7 linked regions of the Coturnix japonica genome follow. The main gene of each other region encodes a partner of the protein of the gene in region 4 in a complex. Links are inferred from orthologs where the notes say so. Each region holds a gene or a part of one and is shown on either strand. Other genes may lie near its edges. The genes, in order: NUP214, NUP160, NUP107, NUP205, NUP188, NUP93 and NUP85.

What was found.
Region 1: NUP205 (region 4) and NUP214 share a complex: the UniProt entries of both Homo sapiens proteins name them as parts of the nuclear pore complex. The link is inferred for Coturnix japonica from reciprocal best matches to the Homo sapiens genes NUP205 and NUP214.
Region 2: NUP205 (region 4) and NUP160 share a complex: the UniProt entries of both Homo sapiens proteins name them as parts of the nuclear pore complex. The link is inferred for Coturnix japonica from reciprocal best matches to the Homo sapiens genes NUP205 and NUP160.
Region 3: the proteins of NUP205 (region 4) and NUP107 are in contact, whole or in part, in a cryo-EM structure (PDB 7WB4), measured with the Xenopus laevis proteins. The link is inferred for Coturnix japonica from reciprocal best matches to the Homo sapiens genes NUP205 and NUP107. Residues at the interface, in XP_041443600.1 of Xenopus laevis: Gly1247, Gln1248, Arg1249, Pro1250, Ser1458, Arg1506, Gln1507, Leu1983, His1991, Gln1995; in NP_001091312.1 of Xenopus laevis: Gln134, Glu136, Pro189, Tyr282, Tyr283, Gln770, Ser772, Phe773, Thr774.
Region 5: NUP205 (region 4) and NUP188 share a complex: the UniProt entries of both Homo sapiens proteins name them as parts of the nuclear pore complex. The link is inferred for Coturnix japonica from reciprocal best matches to the Homo sapiens genes NUP205 and NUP188.
Region 6: NUP205 (region 4) and NUP93 share a complex: the UniProt entries of both Homo sapiens proteins name them as parts of the nuclear pore complex. The link is inferred for Coturnix japonica from reciprocal best matches to the Homo sapiens genes NUP205 and NUP93.
Region 7: the proteins of NUP205 (region 4) and NUP85 are in contact, whole or in part, in a cryo-EM structure (PDB 7TDZ), measured with the Xenopus laevis proteins. The link is inferred for Coturnix japonica from reciprocal best matches to the Homo sapiens genes NUP205 and NUP85. Residues at the interface, in XP_041443600.1 of Xenopus laevis: Glu1477, Cys1480, Arg1481, Cys1484, Asp1485, Ser1517, Gly1518, Tyr1519, Leu1520, Lys1521, Val1522, Val1524, Asp1525, Ser1574, Gly1575, Gln1582, Gln1638, Gly1641, Gln1642, Gln1645, Val1648, Leu1690, Asp1691, Ile1692, Gly1693, Leu1694, Asn1695, Asp1696, Gly1697, Ser1698; in XP_041431608.1 of Xenopus laevis: Ala86, Glu87, Glu88, Ala89, Ser90, Gly91, Lys92, Ser93, Arg94, Lys95, Pro156, Pro239, Met240, Gly245, Thr246, Gln247, Thr248, Leu249, Thr250, Glu251, Phe252, Glu253, Leu254, Lys255, Trp256, Gln257, His258, Trp259, Pro315.

What each region holds. Positions count from the first base shown.
Region 1 is NC_029532.1:4,680,661-4,684,160, reverse strand, and holds part of NUP214 (nuclear pore complex protein Nup214), read right to left. Parts: intron 3,147-3,500; coding exon 3,076-3,146; intron 2,755-3,075; coding exon 2,691-2,754; intron 2,418-2,690; coding exon 2,314-2,417; intron 2,130-2,313; coding exon 2,023-2,129; intron 1,630-2,022; coding exon 1,563-1,629; intron 960-1,562; coding exon 836-959; intron 1-835. UniProt on the Homo sapiens protein: Part of the nuclear pore complex. Has a critical role in nucleocytoplasmic transport.
Region 2 is NC_029520.1:538,830-542,329, reverse strand, and holds part of NUP160 (nuclear pore complex protein Nup160), read right to left. Parts: intron 3,000-3,500; coding exon 2,901-2,999; intron 2,648-2,900; coding exon 2,528-2,647; intron 2,213-2,527; coding exon 2,117-2,212; intron 2,009-2,116; coding exon 1,914-2,008; intron 1,227-1,913; coding exon 1,130-1,226; intron 1,031-1,129; coding exon 925-1,030; intron 843-924; coding exon 682-842; intron 199-681; coding exon 138-198; intron 1-137. UniProt on the Homo sapiens protein: Functions as a component of the nuclear pore complex (NPC). Involved in poly(A)+ RNA transport.
Region 3 is NC_029516.1:31,995,756-31,999,255, reverse strand, and holds part of NUP107 (nuclear pore complex protein Nup107), read right to left. Parts: intron 3,208-3,500; coding exon 3,159-3,207; intron 1,990-3,158; coding exon 1,918-1,989; intron 1,431-1,917; coding exon 1,342-1,430; intron 493-1,341; coding exon 414-492; intron 1-413. UniProt on the Homo sapiens protein: Plays a role in the nuclear pore complex (NPC) assembly and/or maintenance. Required for the assembly of peripheral proteins into the NPC. May anchor NUP62 to the NPC. Involved in nephrogenesis.
Region 4 is NC_029516.1:43,443,467-43,446,966, forward strand, and holds part of NUP205 (nuclear pore complex protein Nup205), read right to left. Parts: intron 3,209-3,500; coding exon 3,051-3,208; intron 1,611-3,050; coding exon 1,530-1,610; intron 968-1,529; coding exon 776-967; intron 240-775; coding exon 1-239. UniProt on the Homo sapiens protein: Plays a role in the nuclear pore complex (NPC) assembly and/or maintenance. May anchor NUP62 and other nucleoporins, but not NUP153 and TPR, to the NPC.
Region 5 is NC_029532.1:4,036,956-4,040,455, reverse strand, and holds part of NUP188 (nucleoporin NUP188 homolog), read right to left. Parts: intron 3,305-3,500; coding exon 3,224-3,304; intron 2,754-3,223; coding exon 2,709-2,753; intron 2,177-2,708; coding exon 2,084-2,176; intron 1,944-2,083; coding exon 1,824-1,943; intron 1,407-1,823; coding exon 1,195-1,406; intron 496-1,194; coding exon 381-495; intron 1-380. UniProt on the Homo sapiens protein: Component of the nuclear pore complex (NPC), a complex required for the trafficking across the nuclear envelope. Required for proper protein transport into the nucleus.
Region 6 is NC_029526.1:559,046-563,039, forward strand, and holds the start of NUP93 (nuclear pore complex protein Nup93), read left to right. Parts: upstream 1-1,194; 5' UTR 1,195-1,305; intron 1,306-1,585; exon of another isoform or gene 1,586-2,495; intron 2,496-2,506; exon of another isoform or gene 2,507-2,591; intron 2,592-3,120; exon of another isoform or gene 3,121-3,387; intron 3,388-3,994. UniProt on the Homo sapiens protein: Plays a role in the nuclear pore complex (NPC) assembly and/or maintenance. May anchor nucleoporins, but not NUP153 and TPR, to the NPC. During renal development, regulates podocyte migration and proliferation through SMAD4 signaling.
Region 7 is NC_029533.1:9,354,953-9,358,953, forward strand, and holds the start of NUP85 (nuclear pore complex protein Nup85), read left to right. Parts: upstream 1-1,201; 5' UTR 1,202-1,300; coding exon 1,301-1,333; intron 1,334-1,419; coding exon 1,420-1,715; intron 1,716-1,890; coding exon 1,891-1,961; intron 1,962-2,438; coding exon 2,439-2,482; intron 2,483-2,909; coding exon 2,910-2,979; intron 2,980-3,173; exon of another isoform or gene 3,174-3,333; coding exon 3,334-3,455; exon of another isoform or gene 3,456-3,923; coding exon 3,924-4,001. UniProt on the Homo sapiens protein: Essential component of the nuclear pore complex (NPC) that seems to be required for NPC assembly and maintenance. As part of the NPC Nup107-160 subcomplex plays a role in RNA export and in tethering NUP96/Nup98 and NUP153 to the nucleus.

The sequences.
Region 1 (3,500 bases), on a different chromosome or scaffold from region 4:
AATGCTTCAAATTCAATTTTGCATTAAAGTCTGACCTCAACTCCCTACTGAAGGTTGTCACTCAGGTAAAGGCTGCTGCAGTTTCCAGTTAATCGGCACCCTCCTGTGCTCTTCAGGAACACGACTGCACTACCTTTCACTCTGCCTGAAGGCATCTCTATCTTAATGTCTCTTGGTTGCAAGAGAGAGCTTTCAGAATTCACTGAGGTACAGCACAATAGCTCAGATGTATCTTCCACTCCAGCCTCTGACAATGAGATTTGAACAGCCTTCAGGCAGCACAGGAGGTACACCAGTAACGTAACCAGGTAGATGCAAAGCACAGCAGGGTTCAGTTAGTACAGGCCCTGTGCTATAAAGCAGAATTAAAACCTACACATTCACCTCAACGATCCTTGTTCTTCCTTGCTTTGTAACCAACCTTTTATTTCCCCTTTAGACCACTGCAAACATACTTAATAAAAAGTTCTGCAAAATGACAGAAGCTACAAGCAGCATGAAAACCACACAGGCAGAGTGAAATCCCTAATAGAATATGGCTCTTTTAAACTCATAATTACCCCAGTTCTGTGAAACACAAACCTGAGGTGCCTTCCACTCTACGTCTGTTACTGCAGCATCCTCATCTGCAGCAAGCTTTCAGGAAGAACTGTACCTAATATCTGAATCCTTACAGAGATGTAGTTGTGCATGTGCTGCAGGCTTCCCATAGAAATGCAGGACTGATAATGTGTTAGTCCCACTTTCAGAATAATCCTAAAGCACTGGATTGCTTCTCAAGAATACCTCCTATATTGCTACCACTAGGCTATTTCACAAGACTAACACGACTTACTGATCGGGATAGGCATGTTATTAGTGTAGTCTACAGCAACACCAACTGGCAAAGTATCATCACTTTTATCTGTCACAGGAAGTTCTGCTCTGCTGGAGTCCTCCAAAATCCATGATTCCCAGTTCTGCAAAACAATAATAGATATTATTCTGACTACTGTTTTCCTGTGCTGAACCTTCTTTAATACATTTGTCTATTACGACTGAAGGACGAGACGGCAAGAAGTCTGGAGAGTATCCACCTGAACTAGTCAGATAAATAAACAACAGAAGTACCAGAGTCCCCCACAGAATTGGCTGTCGCTTCTTCCACAGCACTGCATGTCAGATTTGAAGTCAAACTCAAGAACAATTCTTCATATTCTACTTCAATTGACAACCTCATATGAGTCACTTTTTACTACAGTGAATTTAACCACATTTTTAGACTACCAAGTAAATAATGAAAAGCAGACTTGTGGAACTTGGTTCACAACATACAGTCATTCTGTTTATCCTTCCTGTAACTCAGATCTTGTGTTCTTCTAAGGCTTACATTTACCTTAATATTCTGCACAACCTGAATGTTTTGGATTTTATTTGCTTGGTTTTGGTGTTTATCTTTTTGCTTTGCTTTTTAAAAGCTTACCACACTGTCATGTTGCAGGTCTTACTAAAGATTTACTTGTTTAGGCTTTCAAGAAAAAGGAGGTATGCATACATAAATGAAGCAGGAAGAAAAGCATTACCTGATCTCCTTGCCTAGCAAGAATGCTGACTTCTGTGGAAGCGGCCGAAGCTGCCAGAATTAGATCCCTGTAAGGATGGACACCAGTAGGTTACGAGATGCATAACAATCCAGGCAAGGTCTCTAGCTCTGCAAATCATTATTACCTATCCAAATTCATAAATAACAAAAGAGTTACAACAGTATGAAGCAGACTATTCCTTCCCAGGATGAAGGAAACACATTTGGCTCTGTCTCTGTAGAATGGTTGCCTTTTTTTTTTTCCTCCTTTAAAATTAGTCATCAGTGTATGTTGTCATGAAAATAAAGGAGAAATTACACATACATTCATAAAACATTCTCAAAGTGGCAATTTCATTTGGCTCACATTCAGGTCTTATATAGCTTACAGAAGGGAGAGAAACAGACTATTCAGACATGCATGACAAGGGAAAAGCTTTATCATGATTCTCACAACCCACCATTCCTCAACATAGTTGAGGTAGTAATGATGTTGTCTTTCAGCACAGCTTCCATAACAAGGCTCCATGAAATTCACAAACTTCTCTGGTCGCTTCTCTTCCTTTTTCTGAAAGACCAGCATTAATTATTTACTGCCCAATGTAGAAATTAAGTAACATCCTGTAAATATGGCTTCATCAAGGTACAGTAAACTCAAAATCCAAATGATGGCAATATACACTGTGCCATTGTCACAAACAGAAAGAACAAGCAAGAAACTTCTCTGTAGCTGTGACTTGTTGGAAACTTACGGGCAATATTGCTACAACCACTTCAGGAGGTGTTTCCAGCGTCCCATCAGCAGCAGCATATACAATAGCAAAGACATAGGTGCCAATCCACAGCACATCCAAAACTGGAAGAGAAGGAAACAAATACCTCAGTCAGATACACACCAAAACACTTCCTTGTAGTGTGAGTTACAATGTACAATGGCATTGCTAGCAGATAAGGAATCACTAACTGCTAAACAACAAAGATGAAGAATCATTAATCTAGCATCAGTCATACTAGGAGGAATTATGTAACCAGGGTACTATGAATGTGATGTAACAAGCAGTAACAGTGGATGAATGAGTGAAAGTATTTTAAAGGAGGAAACAAGTTAAAAATAAACAAAAAGATGTACCTTTAACAGGATTGTCTGCCTGATAAAAGGGAGGATAAGGGATTACCTTCTTCTCTTGCAGATTCTGCAAATAAAAACACTCTTAAGTACTACGAAAAAAGCCCCCAAACAACTAAACTGTAAGTTTCAGAGGAACTCCAGAGAACTGTTTTATAGTGACTCACTCCCTCATTAACACTCATCACGTGCCATGGTTAACTCACTACATTTAAGTGGCAGATGCACACCTTAAACTAAACCCAGCACTGGTCTAAGACACTTTAATATTACTGAAGTGCTTGGGCATGGCTCACAACACACGCCACCCAACTCAAATTCTGTACACTGACATGCAAAAAATTGAAGCATATAGCAAACTAGTGAGTGTCTTAGTGACAACACTTACAGGCAGATACTGTACCACAGTGCCATTTTGCCTCCCTACAGCCAGTTGTTTTCCCTTCGGGCTCCAACACACTAAAGAAAAAAAGAGAACTCCATCAGCATTAAGGAAATGTAGAATTACGAGGTCCCTTAAAGCAGGGCCCATAAATTAAAACTGCATTGTTTTTCCTCTGCAAAACCCTATGGATACAAATACAATTCCTGTGAATATCATGGTCTTGTCTTCTAGGTCACAAACTGAAAAAAGAGCTGAAATTCTTAAACCTCGTACTAACTAAGCTGCAAACATGTTTCAGCTTCACTCCCGTGTGCCCCTGTGCAGCTTTATATTGCCCTATAGTGGAATATATCCAGTCACATTTCAAGCATACACTTCAGTTGACACGAGTATATCTGGACGAGTTAAAACTATAGACAGAGGCCTAA
Region 2 (3,500 bases), on a different chromosome or scaffold from region 4:
GCTAGGAGATGCTAACACTGAGTGCACGTGCTTACAACCCCCAGATTAACCCATCCACCATAGATGAGCTCCCAGGAGGCAAGGGGAAAAGCTGTGGGGATGCAGGAGATGGGGAGAAGTCAGTAGCAGGCACTCACTGGGGACTGCAGTGCACTCTCCATCGTGGCTTCTCTTCGGGGATGCTCCAGGCCGCTCATACTTGCAGTAAGGAAGTAGAAAATAAGAGTTTGATGCCCAGGTTTCTGAAGGACAAATCAGCACAATGCACTCCAGCCCTAAGCTTTCCCCTCAAGCCTTGATTTGAATGAGGAGCCATGCAACTGCTTATCAGTTCAGGTTACGTTTCCTTATCTGTGGCTATCAAACACAGCGCAGCATTGGCTGGTCAGGCTACAGCCACCTCCCCTCTACAAAGAGATCGGAAATACAAACCATGTTTGTGTAATTCTCCCCTGGATTGGAATTCCAGCTGTTTAGTCTGCTCAAGATCTGACTTATCTTTAACAAGAGGTGCTACATTCCTCCCTGTGGACCTTGCAGGAGGTTACAAATACTCTGTATATCACATTTCTCATTGAGCTGCATTGCGAAGGATTTCAGAAGCAACCTCACCCAGCACAGCCCTGACCATCCCTACAGCCAAAAGCTCAAGGGCTGCTGACAAGCCCACAGATCCCCTACCACAGCTCCAGACGCTGGCTGCACTATCCAGGCGTACTCGGGTCGGATCAGCCGTAAGCAGTTAATGGCTGCAAGGAAACAGTTGCCCTGCTTCTGCAGCCCTCGGAGCGTCCGCACCTCGCGGCCCAGGCGCATGCCGTACTCGAACATCACCGTGCCAGCTGAGGAGAGGAGGGGATGCATCAGCTGTGCTGCTGTTGGAGCAAGATGAATAGGACGGGGCCGCTCCGTCCCATGCCTCACCCTTGCGGTAGTTGTGGCGGTAGATGTGGAAAGCGTAGAGCAGCTCGTAGTAATTGTGGGTCATCAGGTCCACTGCTCGAGCGTGGGACTCTATGATTCCTACAACCTGCGATGAAAAGAGGCTCAAATAGGTCAAAAATCCTCTTTGAAGGAGTTGTGTGTGTCCACCCCCCCATCCTCCTCCCAGCGCAGGTTAATTAATTACCTCATTATGGAGATTGACGTAGGGGAACTCTACCAGATCCTGGAGCTGGGAGCGCTCGCAGAGCACAACCACTAGTTGGCGCAGACAGTCCAGCTGCCTGCAGAGGGAAAGCACAGCCCTGAGCTGACCCACCATAGGGATGCAGGCTTTGAGCCACCAACGTGCTGCCTTGGAATCAGAGCCAAAGGTTTTACTGGCTTCAAACCAAGAGGTCCCTTCAGGTTTCTCCTGTGTTGCCAACAAAGATTAGCAGAACATGTCTCCGCAATGCCTGTGTTGCTCAGGAGGGCAGCCCCCCACCCCCAGCTCTGTTTGGTGAAGCTTTATGTGGCCTCCATACCAACTCCCAGCCCCAACTCCAGCTTTTAGCCCCTCCTGCCCACTGCACTCTTCCTGGCTGCTGCAAAGCTTCCTCTACACACCTCACTTTAAGAAGGTACGCAAGACAAAATTCCATCCCAAGTCTCTTTCCTGTAGTAAACCAGGTTAATCAGACTGCTAGAGCCCTCCCAAATGTAACGCTGCATGCAATTCTCCAGCCATTTTGTTTCTGGTTTTTCCCTGAATAAGGCCCTATGTTTTCTTTCAGTTTCCACTTTGGACGTATTGCCAATTATAACTGCTCTTAGTATGCCTCTTTAAAGGTATTTTCACACAGAACCTCTTAATGCAGCAGTCATATCCTACCCTACGGTGCCAGCTTCCTTCTGCTTCAGTACAAAACCTGGAGAAGGCAGGAGCTCCAAGACAAGAGAGCATCTAAGAGCACAAAGCTGTCACCTACCTGCTTGGATCTGGGTTTTGTGTTAAGGCGACGTATGCGTCACTGTTGTGCCCTAAATCCAAGTGGTGTTTGAAGATGCAAGTCCTCAAGGTAGCCTGAAAACACCACACAGCACAAAAGAGCACATTGCAAGTTATGCAACCAAGAAACAGTTCCTATGGTAGCTCCCTGAAGAAGCATCTCTGTGCAGAAGGAAACTGTACCTGGGTTCTCCAGTCATCTGCTGATTCCATGATGGCCAGAGAAGCCAGCTGGATGACCAGCTCTGGTAAGCCAACCATGTCCAACAAGCGCAGAACCTGTAAGTGACAACTCCAGCCATATGAGTAATCAAGATACTTGGCCACCGTATCTGAGCGGCTAGAGCCAAAAAAGAGAAGCGTTAAGTTGCAGAGGTGTGAACCAAATCCAGCAGAACAGGTCCAGGCCCTACTGGACGAACAACCTCTGCACAAGTGTGAGTTCCCTGAACACTCAACGGCTCCAGGAAGCCCTTGCAACACAGAGGTGAATGATGCTATCCCCGAGCAAACACTCTGCTTGATAGCAAAGTTCCCTTTCCGGAGGCACCAGCACTGGTGGGGACCACATGTGCTGGACGGACTGAGCCGTACCTTGCTGTAGTACTGCAGGCGTGGGGTGGAGACCATCTCGCCCTCCTCAGGCTGGATCAGCCTGTCCAAGAACTCCTCTTTTCCCACCTCGGAAGCAGCTTGGCAGAAGCAGTCCAAAGCCTGGAAGCACAGCAAAGAGCAGCTGAGCTTGTGCCTTTGGGGACTGCCCCAGCCTGCTGTACTGCAGAGGACACCGCAGCCCATTTCAGCTTCATCCTACAGGTCCTGCTGGCCCCAAGCTGCAACAAGAACTGCCCTGACAGCAGGTCCCACTGTGCCCCCCAGTCCTGCTCCCTGCCCAGAGACAGATCAATGTTCCCTGAGCTACACAGGGAACAAGGCCCCAACAGCAAATACAACCACGGTGCCTTACCTTATGGCCCTCACCCATGACGAGGTAGCACCTGCCCATCATGAAGCAGCAGGAGCCCATGTTCACATGGCACCATGGCTGCAACAGGCGAATGTATTCCTACAGGAGAGGAAAAAGTGGAGCTTTCATCACCACCCCTGGCAGGATCATTTCCCAACCTCAACATCCCCTTGGTGTGCAGAGAGAGAAGGACGTTCCCTATGGCACACACCATAACTCAAAGCCATAGCACAGGGCAATAGAACTCACCACGGCCCTGTGCCTGCTTCATCAAGATAACATAAAAACTGAAAAATGTCAGCATCATTGATCAGGAGGGAGCTAGAAGACATGACGAAGACTCAGTAGCTGAGAGAGCACCAGCTGTTCTTTGCACTGAGAAGCAGAGCTGTGCTAAGATTGCTGGGAGAGCTTTGGCACCTATTCCAGGGCAGCACTTTGGCCACTAGACTTTCTCTGTGCCTGCCTGGTACTTGCAGGGCACTTGCTGCATCTTCACCTCTATTTGGGTCACTGCATGCACGCTCAAAGCTGTTGTTAGCTCTCTGAGGTCAGCACACTTAATCCAAGTTTACGTGACTGGCTGGGATCAGCGAGCCC
Region 3 (3,500 bases), about 11 Mb from region 4:
CCTCTCATCTTCCAGCTCTTCCCACCTTAAAAGCCCTCTCCCCTTCTGCTTATCAATCTACCTGTCTATACTCCTCCAGCTTCTCAGCAGCCTTTTCACACTAGTTGTACTTGCTTCTATTTAAAACAAATATATCAAGATCTGATAATTTTAATCATTATATTAATCATCCAGCGACTTCCAACTTTGGCATTCACTAATATCCTCTCATCAGCGACCTCCTTACTGCTTCACCATTTCTGTACTGATTTTCCAACTTAATGCCTTGTCATTTTTAGATACTACAACAATTTATAGATACCAAAAACTGCCCCGTTCCACCCATTTTTAGAAAACAGCATATGTGTTCTGTGCAAAGCATTTTGAATGGCTTTTATGCCCAAAACCAAGTCTTATATTTAAATAACACTTACCAATTCTGTTACCAGAGGTCGAGAACTTCCAATGAATGTACTTAACTGTCGCTGCTTCAGGATATGTAGCGTATTCTCCCTGGGAGCAGTGAAATGTTTTTGAGAGAAAGAAGGGATTAATAGCAAACATTTTAATAAGACATTAAAATTAGAAAATATTTCTGGATAATTGGAATAGGGTTACAAGAAAGGAATGCTTGGTTTGGTTTGTGCATCAATGAACAGTGTTATCGTACAATTTCATTAGAAGTACAATACTGGAATCAATGCACGTGGCTTTGACTTCTTTCAAAACCACTTTCAATGTATATGAACTATTAATCCATTTCTGCATGAACAAGATTTCCCATTAGTGTTCAGCATTATCGGTCTTGGATAGAAATACAACTTAGGATGAACACACGATTCCAGAAGCCTGTGTTCACCTGTCTTTAAAACAATGCTTATAATAGGAACTAGAATCAAGAAGACTTTGCTCTCTACTGCCTTAAAATCCTTGGCTGGTAATAAAGATGACAATAATTACTTTTGGTGAAGGATAAATGGTAAAAAGTGATGACACGAACTTCAAAAGCCAGACAAAGAACTGAGCACAGAAGAGAAACACATGAGAACAGTTTTATCACCTGCTGATCAGCAGCTGACCATCTTTTTGATGTCTTTTTGATGAAAAATTAAACTGTCATCTATGTAAAACTAAATTAAATTGTTTTCACAACCTTCCTGTCACCTGCTCCTCCCAAAGGCAGTATCTGACTTTTGAGAAGACATAGCCAAACTGGGGAGTAGCTCACTTTTCATATCAATGAATTTAAGGAAAAATGAATGAATGGACCAACTTCTTAGGTGGTTCTAGACTGATTCTGTGTCTGGTTCTGTGAATATTACAATTGAGGAAGCATGGATACAATCAAAAGTCTGAACTCACCAATACACAGATTTTGCGTAAAACTCAATATTATCAGAGAAGTTCCCAATTTCATCCTTGGCGATGCTCTCTAGCCAATCTACCACCAGCTGGAATGAAATTCAATAGCTTTTTTTAGAACAAACACACAATAAATAATACTCCATCTTTCTCTCATCTCTGAATCTATTTGATATCTACACAGTAATCCAAGGCGTACATATCCTAAGAAAAAGCTCAACTTAAGTGCCCAGTTTGAAGCTTGTTTTGGCACTTGATATATTTCTCACTAGATGCTGCAGTTACTACTGCACTATTTAATAGCTCCTTAATTAGTAACAACAGTTGCAGATGATCCAAATTGGAACAGTTCTCAGCCTTCTATGCTCTCCAGCCCAGCCTGAAATATTTCTGATCTCTAGAAATCAAGGAGCAATATTGCTGCACAGGCCTAGATGAATATAAAGAAATAGTTACTTGACACAGCTTAATAAAATACACAGAGCTCATATTTTCTAAAGCTGATGTAACATTAGTTTCATAAATATTTAAGTGTTTACTCATCTATTTCCGTTCTCACCACAAAAATTCTCTTACCTGGCTTTGTCGAACAAGAGCATCTTTCTGAAACAAGTTGTCTACATTCATCTTTTCGCTTGCATTTAAAACCTATTGAGAAAAACTTCATCATCACTTGGTGGAAAAGAAAACTTACCATAGAAACATCAATCTGAACAGTTTTTAACTTCCAAAATTGACTTGGCATTCACCCCCTACCCTGTCCTTTTTCAGAAACAGATGATGCCACACATCTGTTTTATTTGGATGCTCTACTTTCTGTCACACTAAGATTGATAATACGATTCAAATGTGTGGTCACAGAAAGATTTTACACAGTAGATCCATCAACTCCATTGACTGCTCTCACATTACCACAAATCCAGTTTACTACTTTGTATGTTGAGAAGGCCAGACATTTTTACAGAGCTCATACGAGCACTAGACACGAACAAATGGAAAACAAAACTAAATACACACACCAGCCCAGAACCCTGGTCTTTCTTGTTGCTCTCCTGCATTAAGTTGGACTTCTTACAACAAAGGCTGAAGAATACAAGCGTTTATCTAAAAAAGACAGATAGGAAGAGACTCTTTTTGGCAGAGCAGAGTTTAATTTAAAAGCACTGACAACTCAGCAGTGGGAATCAAGGAGGAAGCTATTTCATGACTGAGAAAAAAGCAACTACAATCGTAAATTTCACAAAGGCTGAGTTGCTTTACTTCTTGTTTTGTCTTCCCAGGCACATTCTGGCAGCAAAGGCTGGAAGCACTGCATTGACACAGACAAGAAGACTACAGCTGAAACAAGAACACTCCAAAAACTTGATTTCTCTTGAGATAAACTGGAATCAGGATTGCAGAGCACCAGACAGCTTGAGACCACATGTTCTTCTAGGCAAAGCAGAATCATCTCTGCCCCAGGGAACATTATCACTACGGATACAACTTTTAAATATAAATCTATCGTTATTTCCAGTTGATTTTCCAAGGGCATGAGGAATACTCGGTGAAATAAAACAAAATACACTTGATACAAATGTTTAAGCCAGCATTCTCAATTTGGAATCAAATATATCATAAAAGGTGAATTTAACTATATATAGAATAATTTAGTATTTATCTTGATAGTTATTAAATCAATCTCATCTTTACTTTCTTTTATCTTTGAATTTTGAGTGGCTGCAATACTGAGCTTATTAAAAAAATATAACACAAGACTATAGCTTTAAAATGCATCCTTTAAAAACAGTAATACTATTTTTCTCCCTCAAACTTACTGTGATTTCAAAGGCAGTTTCATCTTCCAGTGCAGACTGTATTCTGTCTCTAGAAATAAAAGTGAAAAACCTTAACTACCAAAATAACGCTGAAACAATTCAGGAGAATGCAGAATAAAAGCAAAAGCACTAAGAATACCTTTCAAGTGTTTAAAAATACTACAAGTTAAGGAAGTAGCAACAGGGCTGTTAACAACTTTCAACTCCCATAAATAGATAGTGAATAGGCATCACGATCAGCAGTTAGGTCCATAAACAGATAAAGAAATAGGCACTTAGTTCCTTTACTCTGTACTTATTCTCTCGCATGCAATATGTCTAAGGTTATCTCAGTGTGAAGAG
Region 4 (3,500 bases):
AAGATGATGTGGAGTGAAGAGTCGCCAATGGAAGCAAAACCCATGGATATGCTCTCAGAGCCAGGTGATGAGGTAAAAGAACCATCCAACATCAAGATATATTGGGACTGCCCAGTCATTGGGACTGCAAGTGGCTGTTTCTGCTCTGTTTTCACAGACTGGCTCAGATGGGCAGTGAGGGTGAACACAGCCCCTGCCACCACCGGCATCAGCTCCTGAGCTGCATCATCATCTAGGATCTTAACATAGAAGAAAACAAACAAACAAGCAGTAGTAGAAGAAAACAAGAAAAAAAAGATATCCATAAATGTCTGATTTCATGAGTTACTGTATGGGAATTGCTAAATCACAGCCTCAACCAATGATTGAACACCTGGCAAGGGACATCCCTGGGAGAACACTGAAAGCAATCAGGGTTAAACCTTTCCCTAAGCCTTGTTTCAGGGCTGACTGCCACAAGGAAAGGATCTCTATCTGGAAATTCCTCCTTTTGGAGTCTTTGATGAGCTCTGATCCTTGGAATGGGTAAGCAAATCTTTCTTTCTTTAACTGGATTGTGACCATCACCCTTTTTTGGATAATTTAGAACTGGTTATCTGCTATTGCCTTTCCCTACAGTTATAAAAGTATTTACTTTAGCCCCTCACAGCTATTTCTAATTAAAGAATCCTTACTCTTTCTACTATGAAGCTTCATTCAACGATTTCACTCTTCAAAAGAAGTACTGATAAGCAACAAAGTTCAAGGAGAGAGTTGTTTTCCAATAAGGCTTTACCTTGTCGTGAACATCATGTAATAGATCACGGATAATCAATTGTCTGTCTTCAGCCTGTATAAGATCCTGGGGGCAGGCAGTCAGTATAATTTCCACCAGCTGCCTCCATGACTCTAAAGCATGCTTCTTAGCATGAAGGCATTGCAGCAGTTTATTCCGTTCCACTACATACTGCAGGATGGTGTTGATCTCCTGACCACCATGATAAAGAAACTGAGTTACAATATGCTAAAAGAGGATAACGACAAAGACAGCTTTCATGATTACAAGTTTTAATCTATCAGTAAGTCTTTGGGGAAAAAAATGGGTAAGTCTTAAGCTTTAGAAAATTGAAGGAAATTTTAATGTACACCTTTGAAATGAAAACAGACAACTGAGGTAAAAGCTGTCCATGTATTTTCTTCTCATATGAGCTTTGGTCATCTCTCATATTTCCATTTTCAAATCCACTGCACCAATTGCACATAAAGTTAAAAGATAGTAGGAACATCAAAAAATAACTAAGATCCTCCAAGTTCAAAGAAACTAACTGTGTAGAAGAAAGCAGAAATAAAACTGGTACCTCCTACAAGACAGTCAAGACAAACAGAGAACAGTACATTAAGAACTAGTTTCTCTTTTTTTTTCCCCTTCAGGAATTACTAACTCAAAGTTCAGGATTCAAATATACAGGTTTTCATGGTAAAGCTTACTGTTTAATAGTTTATGAAATTCACCAAGAGAAACAACAGCAGTTACTGTTTCATTTTCTTACCTCCATAAGTAAAGGTCTCTGACCTATTGCTGCCATTCCTTGCAGGGCATTGACTTCTGCAACCAGAACTCTGTGAAGATGCTGAAATGGGAAAGGATTATTAAAAATAAAAAACTTTAATAATAGCAAAGATTTAAAAGTAGTTAGGAGGTAGCTACATAGTAAGAAATGCAATTGGAGAGACTGAAATTCAAATCAATCTCGCCCATTTTTTAGTTTTCACCCATATTTAATTCTCCAGCTACTTTTAGCTGTCCAGTCTCTATTTGCTGATCACAGTTTTTATCTCTGCACTTATTCATCTCCTTCCATTCCTAAATCGTTCAGTCTTTTTGTCAGTTCTTTCAGAACATCATACTCCCTATTCCTGTCAGTCACTACAGACCTCTTGCACAGGTATAAATGTTCATCACCTCTCTAAAGCACATTTACAAAGTAGATTGCCTATGACATAATGTGGAATAGCAGTTTTCTCATTGCCATCAAGATCACTTAGATATTCTGTTCTACTCCTGCTTTGTTGAGTGTCTTTTAGATCACAAATTTTTCAGGTCTACCTACTAGGTCACTCTGAAAATAATGCCTCCTATTTCCATGGAGACTACAGCAGATACAAAGAGCACAATAACACTGTGATAGAGCCAATTCTCAGTGACAAAACATTCTTTTTCAACGTAGATAACACCATTAGCTAATTTGCGTGGATGAGCTGATTGAGATGCTCTTTATTTATTGCTGTGACAGCTGTGTGTGGCCATCCAGAATACAGCTTTCCTTTCAAATTACCACAGCTGAAACGCACCACCCACCTCACTGCACTCACATCCACTGTTTGACCTCTGTAACTGTTCAGCAAGCATCAATGGGTGCAATTTTTTCCACATGGAGGAATTTAGTGACATACTTTTGCTTTGTTTGTGCTTCCATATCAAACATAATTTTGTCAGTCTGCCCCTCTGCTGCCATCTGTTGCATGGCAACAAAACACATTGAAATGTGGGTGGGAAGGTTTAGCCTCTAATACCATTCCACCAACATCCACCTCTGACACTGCGGGGCAACATAATAAAATAGGAGGCCTTACTTTCACAGCAGCCCTCATATTATATACATGTCAAGTACTCATCCCCATAAGACACTATCTTAACTGAAGCCTTTAAGAACAACTGCAGTACATGAGTATTTTATGTACAGAACCGTGCACACATGCAGTACTACACAGCTGCGTACTGCAGAACAATGAAACATGAAATGTAGAAGTCATTTCTGCAATTTCATTTATCTATTCTGAGCTGAGAAGATCATTAAACCGAAAATATTCCATCTTGAATTGAAAAATCTGTCAGGTGTTAATGAGAAATCTTTGTACACAATACAGAAGAAAATATAAATTAATTTCCAAACAGTTTGTATACAGCTACATTCTTTGTGTAATATGACCTTTCAAAGCATAACTCTTAAACTGATCAGTCACAGAAATTAATAATAATAAAGATTATTAATAAAATAAAGATTGCACACCTTGACGTTGCAGACCACTTGCCCACGTGCATTCTTGTGTTCACAGTTAGCAATGACTTGCTCAATCTGAACACGGTCAAAAAAATCCAGTTGCAAAGGCTCTGGAATGTCCTGACTGAAGTCAATTGAATCCAAGATACTTAAGATTTTCCTGCGTACTGTAAATACAAAACAATTTGAATTGTTTTCCGAAATACCACAGGGAGGGAAAAAAAAAATTAAATAGAACAGCTGATGATAGGAGACCTATTTACCTCTGTAAATTCAAATCTTAAAGTGCTATCAATCTGCATAGGGGGGTTAAGAACATTTTCTAGAGCCTTAAATTGTTAACTATGCTGTTTTCTGTTGTTCTCTGTTACATATACACTGTGACTATACGACTAAATTTTTGACTCTTAAAAACTGTCTGTTTCTCCTGCAGTCTTTTTCTGAGACTTAAAAAGATGG
Region 5 (3,500 bases), on a different chromosome or scaffold from region 4:
TGTGCATGTGCAGTCTTGGTCTGTGTGCTTGTTTTACTGACTTTGTGCTCTTTTAACCTCAGAAGTTCTCTGTCCTAAAAGCCCTGACACTGAGAAGGGTATGAAACAGAAGACTTTTAAAGCTCACATTGCCTAACACTTTGCACACACCTTTCTTTAAAGAAAGGCCCAAGATAATCAAGTATGTAAGTGGGAGAAGAATTAATTTCCTTCTTATTTGTCCCATCAAGTTTCATGGATGCTAGCTCTTCTATTTGGCCAGCAAACACAAGAGTCAGAACCTTTTATACATAATCTTTTAACAGCACTGCTTCGATAACCAGAGTAAGTTTTACTTACTCTGTCAGGCTGAACATGGAGTTACCCTGCCTGCACTTTACCTGGTGGATATGTGAATTATTGGCTAACTTGTGCTCCTCTGTTCTATCATCCAAAGCTCGCTCATGGAGGGAGTCAATTTCCATGCCTTCCACCAGAATAAGAGCACTAAAGTAGCTGCAAGCAGGAAAGAGGAAAAAAAATCAAGTAGGTGAGACATTTTGTATCAGAATTCAGCTGATGTTTTTGTTCAGTTGGTTTCTAATGTAAAAAGAATGACAGTCAAAGAATAACATTCAGTTTGCATTGGTTCAGCTGCTCTTTAAAGAAATAAATTAGCAGCAGGTAATCCAAATTTTGTCTTGAAATGCTAAGCATAGAACAGTTTAAAATGTTCAAAACTACCACTGAACAAACAAAAAGACCCTTCATTCCTTCAGGACACAGCCTAAGCTATGTCCCACACAGCAAAACTGAGACACTATCACCACTTGTATAAGCAGACCCACAGCTTGTACTAAGGCAATTCAGTTCACACTACAGAACTGTGAAGATGCAGTTTCACTTTATAACTAGTCAAGGTGAAACTAAATGGCACTGTGTCTTAATTGCTATTCTTACTACAGACAATTAAAGCTGGCATCTGGATGCCCCTCTGCTTTGCAATCACCTCTTCATTTTGCCACCAATGTCCAGTGCAATCAGAAAAGACATTCTGCCTTCATCATAATTAGTTCAGCTTCATTTTCAGAGTGGTGATTTTAAAGTGACGACTTAAGAGAGAGAAGAAATATAAGCACTTTTTTCTTTTTTTTCTATTACTGAGGAAAACAACTGCACTGTTCTGTACTCACTCTACAGATATACGTTACTCACCCAATACGATCCACCAGGTGATCCATGCTCTCATCCACCAAGTGCCTGTTGGTTTGTCTAGTGCCAAATCCCTGCTCCTTGAACAACTTTGCAAATGCCAGAAGCTCATCAGGTGCCATTTCAAAGTACGCATAGTAGAGGAAGATGACTTCCAGGAGCATGGACTGCTCACGGAGACATTGCACAAACCAACGGGAAACCTGACGCTCTGTCTGCACAAGGAGAAGTCCCACCATCATGCATCAAAGCTCAGAGATCAGAAAAATCAATCAGAAACCAAGAGGGGCTGAGCTATTTCAATGCTTGCATAGTTGGTGGTTTGCATTAATAACAAAAGCCACTGCAAGGGTACTGATGCAGAGAGACTATGAAGAGCTACAGTAATTGATCTGTTATAGCTGACTGTTATCAACAGATTTCTTACATGGAACAATGTGTTTCAAACAGCTTGCTTTGGTTCTATGCAAAAGTGTGCTCGATTAAAGAGAAAATAGCAGTTAGATTCTTCAAGAGAACCATCTTATAGGCTACATCTGCATGCAGACATTTCAACATGCATAAAGAAAGACTTTCTAAGCTAGACAGATATACTTGGGAAGTTATATAGAAGAGCATGGAAAAAAAAATACCATGAGATTTCCGTGTGTTTCCCATGTAGGAGCTTCTGCTTTGTACAGTTCTTCAAACTGTTTACGGTAATTAGGAACAAGTTCCTTGTCCAGCTTCTCAATACACTGGAAGTACTGTGCCTTAAATAAACAAACAAATAAATAAATGAACTTCCATATACATTCTTGTGTGGTTTTTATAGTCACAGGTGGATAATTACTACACAGCTTACATATTTAGCTTATTTCAATGACATCCAGGAGAAGGTTCCAGTACTCACTGTATAAGGGTGCCTCTCATCCTGGAAATAAGTGAGCAAATGGAGGACACAGCGCAGAATGCAGATCCTCTCTTCATAGTAATAGTCAGCAAGCTGTGAATACATAACGGCACCAGCATCAGTTTGTTACTGCGTTCAACTCCAATTCACTTTCCTCTTCCAGTGCCTTCAGCACCAGAATACATAGAGCTCAAACACTGCTACAGATGGAATTTCAACTAAGCAGTTTTAAATTATCTAAAAAAATAAAAATAATAAAAAATAATTAAAAAAAAAACCACAAGAATTTAATTTACTTAACAGAATTCAATAAAACAAGTTGTTGGGATGTCTGTAATTATACTATCCAATGAAACTTGGAAAAGAAAGGCAAAAATAAGATACAATCTTCTATTCTTAATCTTTAGTAATCTACTGCCAGGTGTGACGATCAGCCTCCCTTCCAGAGCTGTCCCTTCAGACAGAAACATACAAACCCACACACTTTGGAATATGTGGAAGCATTTGCCTGACAGCTGAACTCCCCAGCATTAATCCTAAAACTGCCATCACCCCGAGGCTTTCTGAATACAAAGTGTCAGTTCTCAGATCTTTTCAATAGAAAATATAAGCTGAAATGACTAACCTTCAACATCAGAGCCTGACTCTGCCTTTCATCCTGAAGAACTGTCTGTAAGCAAAGCATAACAAAATGATTACCCACCGCAGAAATACCTACTGACAAATACCATCAAAAACAAACAACAAATACTCCACAAATGAAAGAAATAAGAAAAAATTTCTTTCCATTTCTTTTGGAAAGACTGTTTCCAAAATGACAAAACCTAAGTACTTAATTGTGAATGTTTGTTCTTCATCTCCACCCACTCTCATTCATACATCTGTAGGTTTCCTCTGCTCCTGAGACAGAGATGAGCCAAATCCTTCCAGATTCAAGCAGGAAGAGGACCAGAAAGTTAGACCTGAACTTCTGCTGTCCCACGTCTGTACAGTGGTAATTGGCCACCGCAGGTTCAGAGAACACAAACTACAGTCTTTTCCAATTCAGAATGTGGGGTTGCATATGATCGTGTTCATCAACAGATTACTGGTATTGTGGACAGGTGTATAGTGAACAGGAAATAAATGGGAGCTAAGGACCTTCAGGGAGTCCCTCGTTCCTCTGTAATCTTCCTGAAGATAACACTGTAATAATTGCACGCTCTGCTCTTCATCCAGACCCTGGAAAAAAAAAAAGAGAGATGTTCTGAAATGAACAAAAGGTAACTGAATTCATTAAAGATTCTCTCCAAATATTTCAGGTTGAATTTCTCTTCAGAATAAATAAAAATAGCATATTTTTGCCTTTCAGGATGATGCTTGTTTCAATCAGCACTTCAGTTGAAAGCAAAATACACAAGCCTTGATGTCACTTAGG
Region 6 (3,994 bases), on a different chromosome or scaffold from region 4:
CAGCCCGCCTCGCCTGTAAATAGCTGCCATGCTTTGGGGACAGGGTGGGGGGTGATGGGGGCCACAAACACAAAACAAAGCTTATTTTTACATGTTTTGTACCTTCTGTGCTGATGGAGGAAATAAATGAGTTTGGCTGAGCCCTGATGCTGCTTGTGACACGTGTGTGGGAGCACTGGTGCTGGGGGCTGCGCCAACCCCCTGTGGGCTGTGGTTTGAGGGGACAGAGTGGTGTCGTGCAGTTGGGGTGCTCTGTTTCACAGCCCCTGGTGAGTGGGGGGCTCAGGGTGCCACATGGGGCAGGTGTGAGCACAGCCCGGCCGGCTCCTGCCCTGGGGGGGCAGACAAGGAGGGGGGTGGGGGCGTGGGAAGGCGCCTGGCTGCTCTTTTCCTTCCGAATACACCTGCCAAGCGAAAGTTGGCCCTACCTGTGCTGCAGGGCACAGCCTGCCCACACATGTCTGTGTGCTGTGTGCTCTGCTCCTGGCCATGCTGCCTCGTCCCATGCTCTGCGGGTGGGGACAGCTCGTGCCCTCCAATGGGGCTGGGAGCCGTGTGGGGTGGGTGGCCCTGAGTCCCCGGGCCCCTCGCTGGGGTGGTGCTGGAGATGGGAAAGGGGCTGCCCCGCTCAGTGTGTATTTGCCTTGTAAATCAGGGCCTGGGCTCCTTCCCAGCCGTGCCCCGGGTTGGAGCAGCCCCCAGGACGAGCTCTGGGGGCCGTGCCTTCAAACATGAGCGCTGTGGGAAGGTGTGAGGGCAATGTCTGCTGAGGGGAGCTGGGCTGAGGGGGGTGTGCGGCCCGGGGTCCCTGCAGGGTGGGTTTTTTAATTGAAATCAAGTTTTTCTTTATGTGAGTGAGTGAGCCTCACATCCTACATGGCACAATGGACACAAGTGGGGAATGGGGAACAGATGGCTGTGGGGGTTCAGGGCAGCGAACAGCCGTACTGATGGCAGTCTGCAGGCGTTCCGCTTTTCGTTTATAGTGTTTTCATCTCTGACCCCCGGCCCCGCGCGGCCGTCGGGCCGTTCCTCATTGGAAGAGGCGGCGGGCAGCCTCGAACCCGCGTCTCCCGGCTCACCGCCCCCATAACCACGCACAGCCCGCGCCGCCTCCCAGCGCCTCAATCACTTCTTGTCGCGAGACGAGCTGGAGGGGCGGGACTCAGCTCGACAACCAATGGAAATGCGTAGCGTCAGGAAGCGCGCCGGCTCGACCAATGGGCTGGCGGGGAAGGGGGAGAGCGTGGCCAATGGTGGCGCGCGGCGCGGGCGTGCAGGCGCGGCGGCCGGAGCGGCGGGCAGGTGAGTGAGGGGCGGTGGGCGCGGCGGGGATCGCGGTGCGGGCGGCCTCCGTCCTCCGTCCTCACATCGTTCTGCTCCCCGGCTCCTGAGCTCGGCGCTCCCTGCCCTGGGCGGGCGCTGAGGCGCGGGGCCTCCTGTGAGCGGGTGCCCTCGGGCCGAGGCAATGTCTGCCAGCTGTGCGGGCCGCTGCCGGGGGTCCGGGCCGGGCTGTGTGAGGGCTGGAGGCGGGGGGAGATGCACGGGGTGATGGCGGGTGGGGCCGACATGAGGGGACCGAAAGGATGGACTGACTGGGAATGGCTACATCAGCTCGTGTGGTTCCTGCTTGTTCCTGCGGTGCTGATAGCAAAGGAAAGATTGTGGGGAGAGGATCCGAGCTACAACATAAGGAGCGTGAGGGGAGTGAGCAGGGCAGGCGGCACGGCAGTGCAGTAAGACCTCAGAAACAGCTGGTTTTATTCAGTTTGTGCTGTAAAAGCTCTATGAGACCAGAGCTTGGGAGCCGCGATCAAAGGGTTGGTAACTTACACACCTGCCTGCAGCTGAAGAACAAAGCATACAGGACTGGGAAATATAGGGATGGCAGCTGATTTAATTTGTGGGTGGTGGAATGAACACTGAGTTGAGGAGTTCGTTGCTGTGTGCTCTGTTCAGGACTTTCCTACATCCAGGGCACTGTACCAGCTGGAGCACCACATGCAGCTTGGAGCCCTTACGTGTTTGGTTTTAGTGTGGCTTGTGCTTTTAGCTTAAACCAGGAGGTGGTGTGGCTCCCTTTGCTAGGTTTGATTAAAAGTCGTGTAGCAGAGGGCAATTTGTGGACAACATGTAATAGATGTGTGGTTTGCAATCGGTCCTTTTCCCTTATAGAAGTTGAAAATGAGTCAGGGACAGACCTTGGGAGCGGGAGCAGGTGACCTGTGTGTGCTGCTGGTGGGGCTCAGTTGTCTGTACCATTCCTGCCCTACGTGTGCTCTGTTTAACAAGCTCATTGACAGTTCCTGCATTCTTAGAAAGGAGCTTAATATCAGTGTCTAATATCACGGAAGTGGCATTTTTCATTCATTCAAGATATACATGTATGTATTTTGCCGCCTGCTCTTTGCTTTCATACTCAGTCACTTACTCTCTTCCTTCCAAAGGGAGCGGATGCTGACTTGTCACATGGGTCTCTGGAGCACTCTGAGAGGGTAACGCTGGATTTCTTCCTCTTTGTTTTGTCTTGGGAAGAATCTTTTTGCCCCTGGTTGGATTGTACTCTTTATCAGCTCTTCTGATTGCAGTGGGTGAGGCTTCCCTCTGAATTTTTAGTCAGTCTCTTTAAATAAATTAATTATAATTAGGTGGCACAAAGACTGTCAGTGTATGAAGTACAGCAGACACTTGCTTACACATGGGAGCTCTTCAGCTTGAAGTCTTTATGAAGCTCATATGGTGAAATGTTCAGCATGGCCGTATTTGGAGTAGGACAGCACTCTTCATCTGCTAGCACTGCAGGGCCTGGCTTTCCACGACCAGCCGGCATTTATGGTCAGTCTGAACAGAATTAGAAACCTGTCATCATTTCTGATTTCATTTTGGCTGAAATCCAGCCAGCTTGTAGAGTTTGTAACATCTACATGCGGTTTTAAATGTTGGGAAAACATTAAATGGGGCTTTTATTGGACAAGCAATAGCAGACTAATGCAGCAGCTTCTATTGATAAGTCATCAAAGTCGTTTTACAGAAGGGCTTTTTCAGCCCTGGCTTCTAGCCCTGGGTCGATCCAGTTTCACCGAAGTTAGTTTAATTTCTGGTGTATTTTCTCTCCCTTAGGTGTAAGTTGTTGCACATTCTGCAGCCAGACACAACAGTCTGCTGTCATTTGCTCGTCCCTGTGGCAGCAGTTTTCCATCTTGCACAGCGGCATTTGGAGTCAGACTGCAGCCTCCTGAATGCAGTAAATTCTGACAGCATGGAGACTAAGTAGTTCATGCTGTTACCCGGTCTGGATGTTTGAAGTCTGTCCCTTGGAACACGCTGCTGTTTGAGCTCTAGAGAAAGGTTTGAGCTCTCATTCCCAGTGTTTGGTTATAATCAAAGGTAGTTGGAGTTGCTTCAAATTAACAAGTTTATTCTATATTTGCTGAATTCAGTCTCTGTTTTCCAGAGTCATTACGGTTGTCCTACCTTGGCAGATTTGTGGGACAGCCTGTATATGGAATTGACTTGGGATCCGTGCTTGACAATTGCAGTCTGTGGAGCTATTTGTAGTCCCCTGACTCTCTGTGCTTTTGGTTTTAGAGCTCTGAGAAGTCAGTGCCTTCTCACACTCTTGGCTTTTCATCTTGTTCTTAATGAGAAGAGGAAGCAGACTGATTTGAATCAAATCAAGCTGAAGTCTGTGCTGCTCCTGCACTCACTGCTTCCTGCTTTCTAACGGTACAGGAGCGTGGCTGTTGTGGTCAGCCTCTGCCAGTGCAGGCAGCTTCTGCTGGGGCACACTGAGGTATCACAAGTAAACACTGGAAAGATGCTCTGTACTGCATTGCAGAGCATGGAACTGCTGCTTTCCACCACGCCCCTCTCTCCTCCCAGCCATCTCAGTGGCATGCTAGTCTGTTCAAACAAATCCAGACCCTGCTGTCTCTCCTGAACAATAGGTCAGTGCACATGGGGTTGCTACGTCCCCTAGCAGCTCCTGGTTTTC
Region 7 (4,001 bases), on a different chromosome or scaffold from region 4:
AAACTTGTACACTGGCCCTTAAACTAATATATGGGATTCCTATTGCTAAGGCAGTCAGCCTACAGCACCTTCTCAGCCTGAACCCTGAAGGGGCGAGTGGCTTATTCGGATTTTGCTCTTCATTAATACTAGTGTAGCACCAGGAGCAGAAAAGCATTGCCGAGGTGATTGCCTGTCTCATGCTTCCCCTTTCACGATGCTTATCCTCCTTGCCTTCTCCCAAGCTATGAAATTACTTTCCAACCTTCTATTTTGTAACCCTTTATTCCCTTCCTCATTAGACCTCAAAGTTTTGCTGCTTTCTCCCATCCCCAGAAAACAGTCGTGTTCTTTTGGCTGAACCCAGAGCTGTAGCTCTCAAGTCTTTTTGAACACTGTGTACTTCCACGCTGCCATTCTGGTTGTAATTCGATTCAGTTACAGACTGGTCAGGCACAAGAGCCTTTCTGAGCCAGAGTGCAGGCTCATCTCTCTCCTAGATACACGCAGACCTCCAGCCAACCTTCCAAGAAGGACTAAGACACTGCAAACTAAACTTCACCTCTGCCAAGGTCATTTCCCTCGGCAAAAGTCACTTTCTCAAGGGCAGCAGGAGCTGCAGCCATGAAAAGCTACTGGCGTTTTTAGTCAGTGAGCAGAGGGGCTGTGTCCGTCAGCACAAAGCAGGAAAGGAGCTGCAGCTTTACATCAGCTTGTAGTTTTTCAGTCTTTGCACTGGATGGGATCCTGAGGCAGGAGGACACTGTCCCATTCCTACACCCTCACCTCAGACATCAAAACATCCTTCAACACAACGACGAAAAGGAAAATAAGAGCAGTGAGACCAACAGACACTGCCCAGGGCTCGGGCCTCTCAGCAGCGCTGGTTCAGGCTGAGCAGCACCTGCCTTTTTACTGCCCGTTACAGAGCGACCGCGGCGGGACAGCGGGACACGGCGGGACAGCGGGACACGGCGGGACAGACAGGTGGACACGACACAGCTCCGCTCCGCTCCTGCCGCGTCCCCCCCGCCCCGCTCTGCCATTACAGCGGCCCGTCCTCTCCTCCCCTCCCCTCCTCGCGTCCTCCCCCGTCCCGCCCCGCCGGGGCCTTCAATGCCGGCGCTGTTTCCGGGGCGACCGGCCGCGCCTGCCCCGAAGTGTCGGAGCCCCGTCGGTCCCGAGGGCCCGAAGCGGAGCAGCCCGCAGGGAGCCTCGCTGGCTGCCGGCTGCGGGTAACGCTGCGGAGCTCCGCGGGGCGTTGGGCAGCGGGGCGGGCAGCCGCCAGGGGCCTCAGCGCGGGCGGGAGCGCGGCGTGGCCATGGAGGAGCCCGAGACGGAGCCGCCGCTGACGGTCAGGGCCGGACCGCCCGTCCCCGTCCCTTCCTTTCCCTTCCCTTTCCTTACCTTCGCCCCCCGCTCTCCTCTCCCTTCCCGCAGGTGGTGCCGGGCGCCGACCCGGCCCGAGCTCAGCTGTGCTTCGAGTGGGGCCCCGCCGAGATGCTGCTGTGCGAGACGCTGTTCGGCCGGGGCGGCAGCGCGGGGCCGGGGCCGGCGGGATGCGGCGCTGCGGGCGGCGGGGACGGAGCGGCGGGTCCGTCGCGCGTGTTCGTGGTGCGCAGGGATCAGGACATCTACATGGAGACGCTGCGGAAGCTTTTCAACGAGTCCCACGGCATCTTCGTGGGGCTGCAGCGCTGCGAGGAGGAGCGGGCTGCCAGGGCGAGGAACGCGCAGTGAGTGGGGCCGGAACAGCCTCCTTTTGGGTGCTGAACAGTGCGTGGGACCCTGCACAGCACGGGCAGCACCCACCAGGCTGACCCTGGTTCTGGAAGCATCCACGGATGCACAGAAAAGGGACCGTAACCGAAGCAGTATCTCTCTGTAAACGATCCTTTTTGTGTTTGGCAGATTAGTCCAAGTGAGTAAAAACTACCGCTCGGTCATAAGAGCCTGCATGGAGGACATGCACCAGGCTGCCAGTAAGTCTGTTGCACTGCAGTAAAAAGATGCTACTTGTGATGATAAAAATAAGATTTCTCTTGGAAGTTGCTATAGCTACTGAAAAACAGCCCATATAAACTTCAGTAATTAACAGGATTCCATCTTCCATCATTGAGATTTCCATGTTGGTTCATCATCTCGTAACTGATTTTGGGAAGACTTGCAGTATTTTCATGTCATGACTTGTGGTTTTGTGGAAAAATGAGTCAAATTCACCAGCTTGCTCCTCTGAAACAGTGAGAGGACTCACTGTGTCTTAACATCCTTGTCCTGTAAATATACCAGATTTATAAAGAGTTCTGCAGGGTGAGCTGAGCTGTATCAGCTGTGCACACATCTGGGGCTGTACCCAGCGAGCGATCAAGGACTGTATGAATGAGCTCAGAAAGTTTTGTTGTACCTGTAAATATGCTGCTTTTTATGCTGCTTTTTGACTTGGTGTATTTTTCGCTCAGTTTCAGCCCGGGACTCTGCCCTGCACAACCAGTACAGCATTCAGGTAACGTACAGTCACATCCACGTAGTTGCATGAATATTGGTTAGTAAAGCCACAAAGACCAACACCGTGGCTGTAGTTTGTTGTTTGAACAGCACTGATGTTGCTTAGTTTGCCTTTAGTTCCTTCTGTGCTCTCTAACTCTCAGGAGATTAAAAAGGCTTCAATTAACACTTTCTGCACTGTTCTGCATTTCCCTGAGGAGCGATTACTGTTGCATTTCAATACACAAACCACCGATATTTTCTAAAATGGATGTGTATAGAGAAGTTATGGCCTGTTTCTGTCTTTTGATTATCTCTGGAATATCAATGTGACATTTCTCTTGTCTACAAAAACCCATCTCTGTGGGCAGCACATTCAGCTGTGCACTTAAAATTAAATAACAGGAACAATTATGACCCTGAAACGCAGCTCTGCTTTTTGTCAGGTTTCTATTCTCTCTGCCATGGAGCTGATCTGGAATCTGTGTGAGATTCTGTTTGTTGAAGCAGCGCCAGGTGAGCAGTGAACAGTTCTGATGTTAAGCCTGAAAGTGGTCTTGTTTGCGTAATAATCGTTTAAAATGTAGACAGCGTGCGTGGTGCTACATCTTAATGCTTACTGTGGAGTGTATGACAAGCAGCACCGAATTCTGATACCTTTTCTGCCTCAGTAAATTGCATTTTTTTGTATTAAATTATATCAGGATGCATTCTACTTTACACTGGCTTATTTATTTATTTCTCACAGAAGCATAATAAACAAAAACTTGTTCCCAGTTTATTTGACCTTAAAGCATAAGAACCTTCTTAAATTAACTGCCTGGGGACAAACAGTTTGGGAACTAACAGTGATACCTTCTCTGTGTAAAGCTGGTCCTCTCCTGCTTCGTCTCCTTGACTGGGTTCAGCTTCACATCTGTGATGTAGACAACATGGTCCGTGAAGTTCTGAGCAGCGAAAATCCATCAAAACACAAACTCTTCTGGAACGTGGTGAGTACAGCCCCCTGTCAGACGTTTAGATGAAGTCGTGCCTGTGTGTCTCGCATTCCTCTTCTCAGCACTGTAGCACATCTCAGAAACTGATACCTGAGATGCTGCTTCTGTCTTTGTAGTTTTAAGATAAAGCATTGTCAAGGTCATAGAATCACTCAGGTTGGAAAAGACCCGAAGGGTCATCAAGTCCAACTACAGCCTAACCATGCTACCCTACCTACCCAACAGCCCTCCGCTAAATCATGTCCCCGAGCACCACATCCAAATGGCTTTTAAACACATCCAGGGACAGTGACTCAACCACCATCCAATTTCATGATTCACAGAGGTTGTATATTCAAATTAGCAGGGCCTAGAGTTGAAATCTTGTAACTCTACTTGGCTTTCTTGAAGATTCTCCTGATATTCCACCTGGGTGCGTGGTAGCCCTGCACAGCTTGGTACTCACAGACGTGCTTTCTGCAGGTGGATATCTTCGTACTGCAAGGCCGAATGGATGAAGCACGGCACTTGCTCTCCAAGGAAGCCACTGCAAATCCCGCA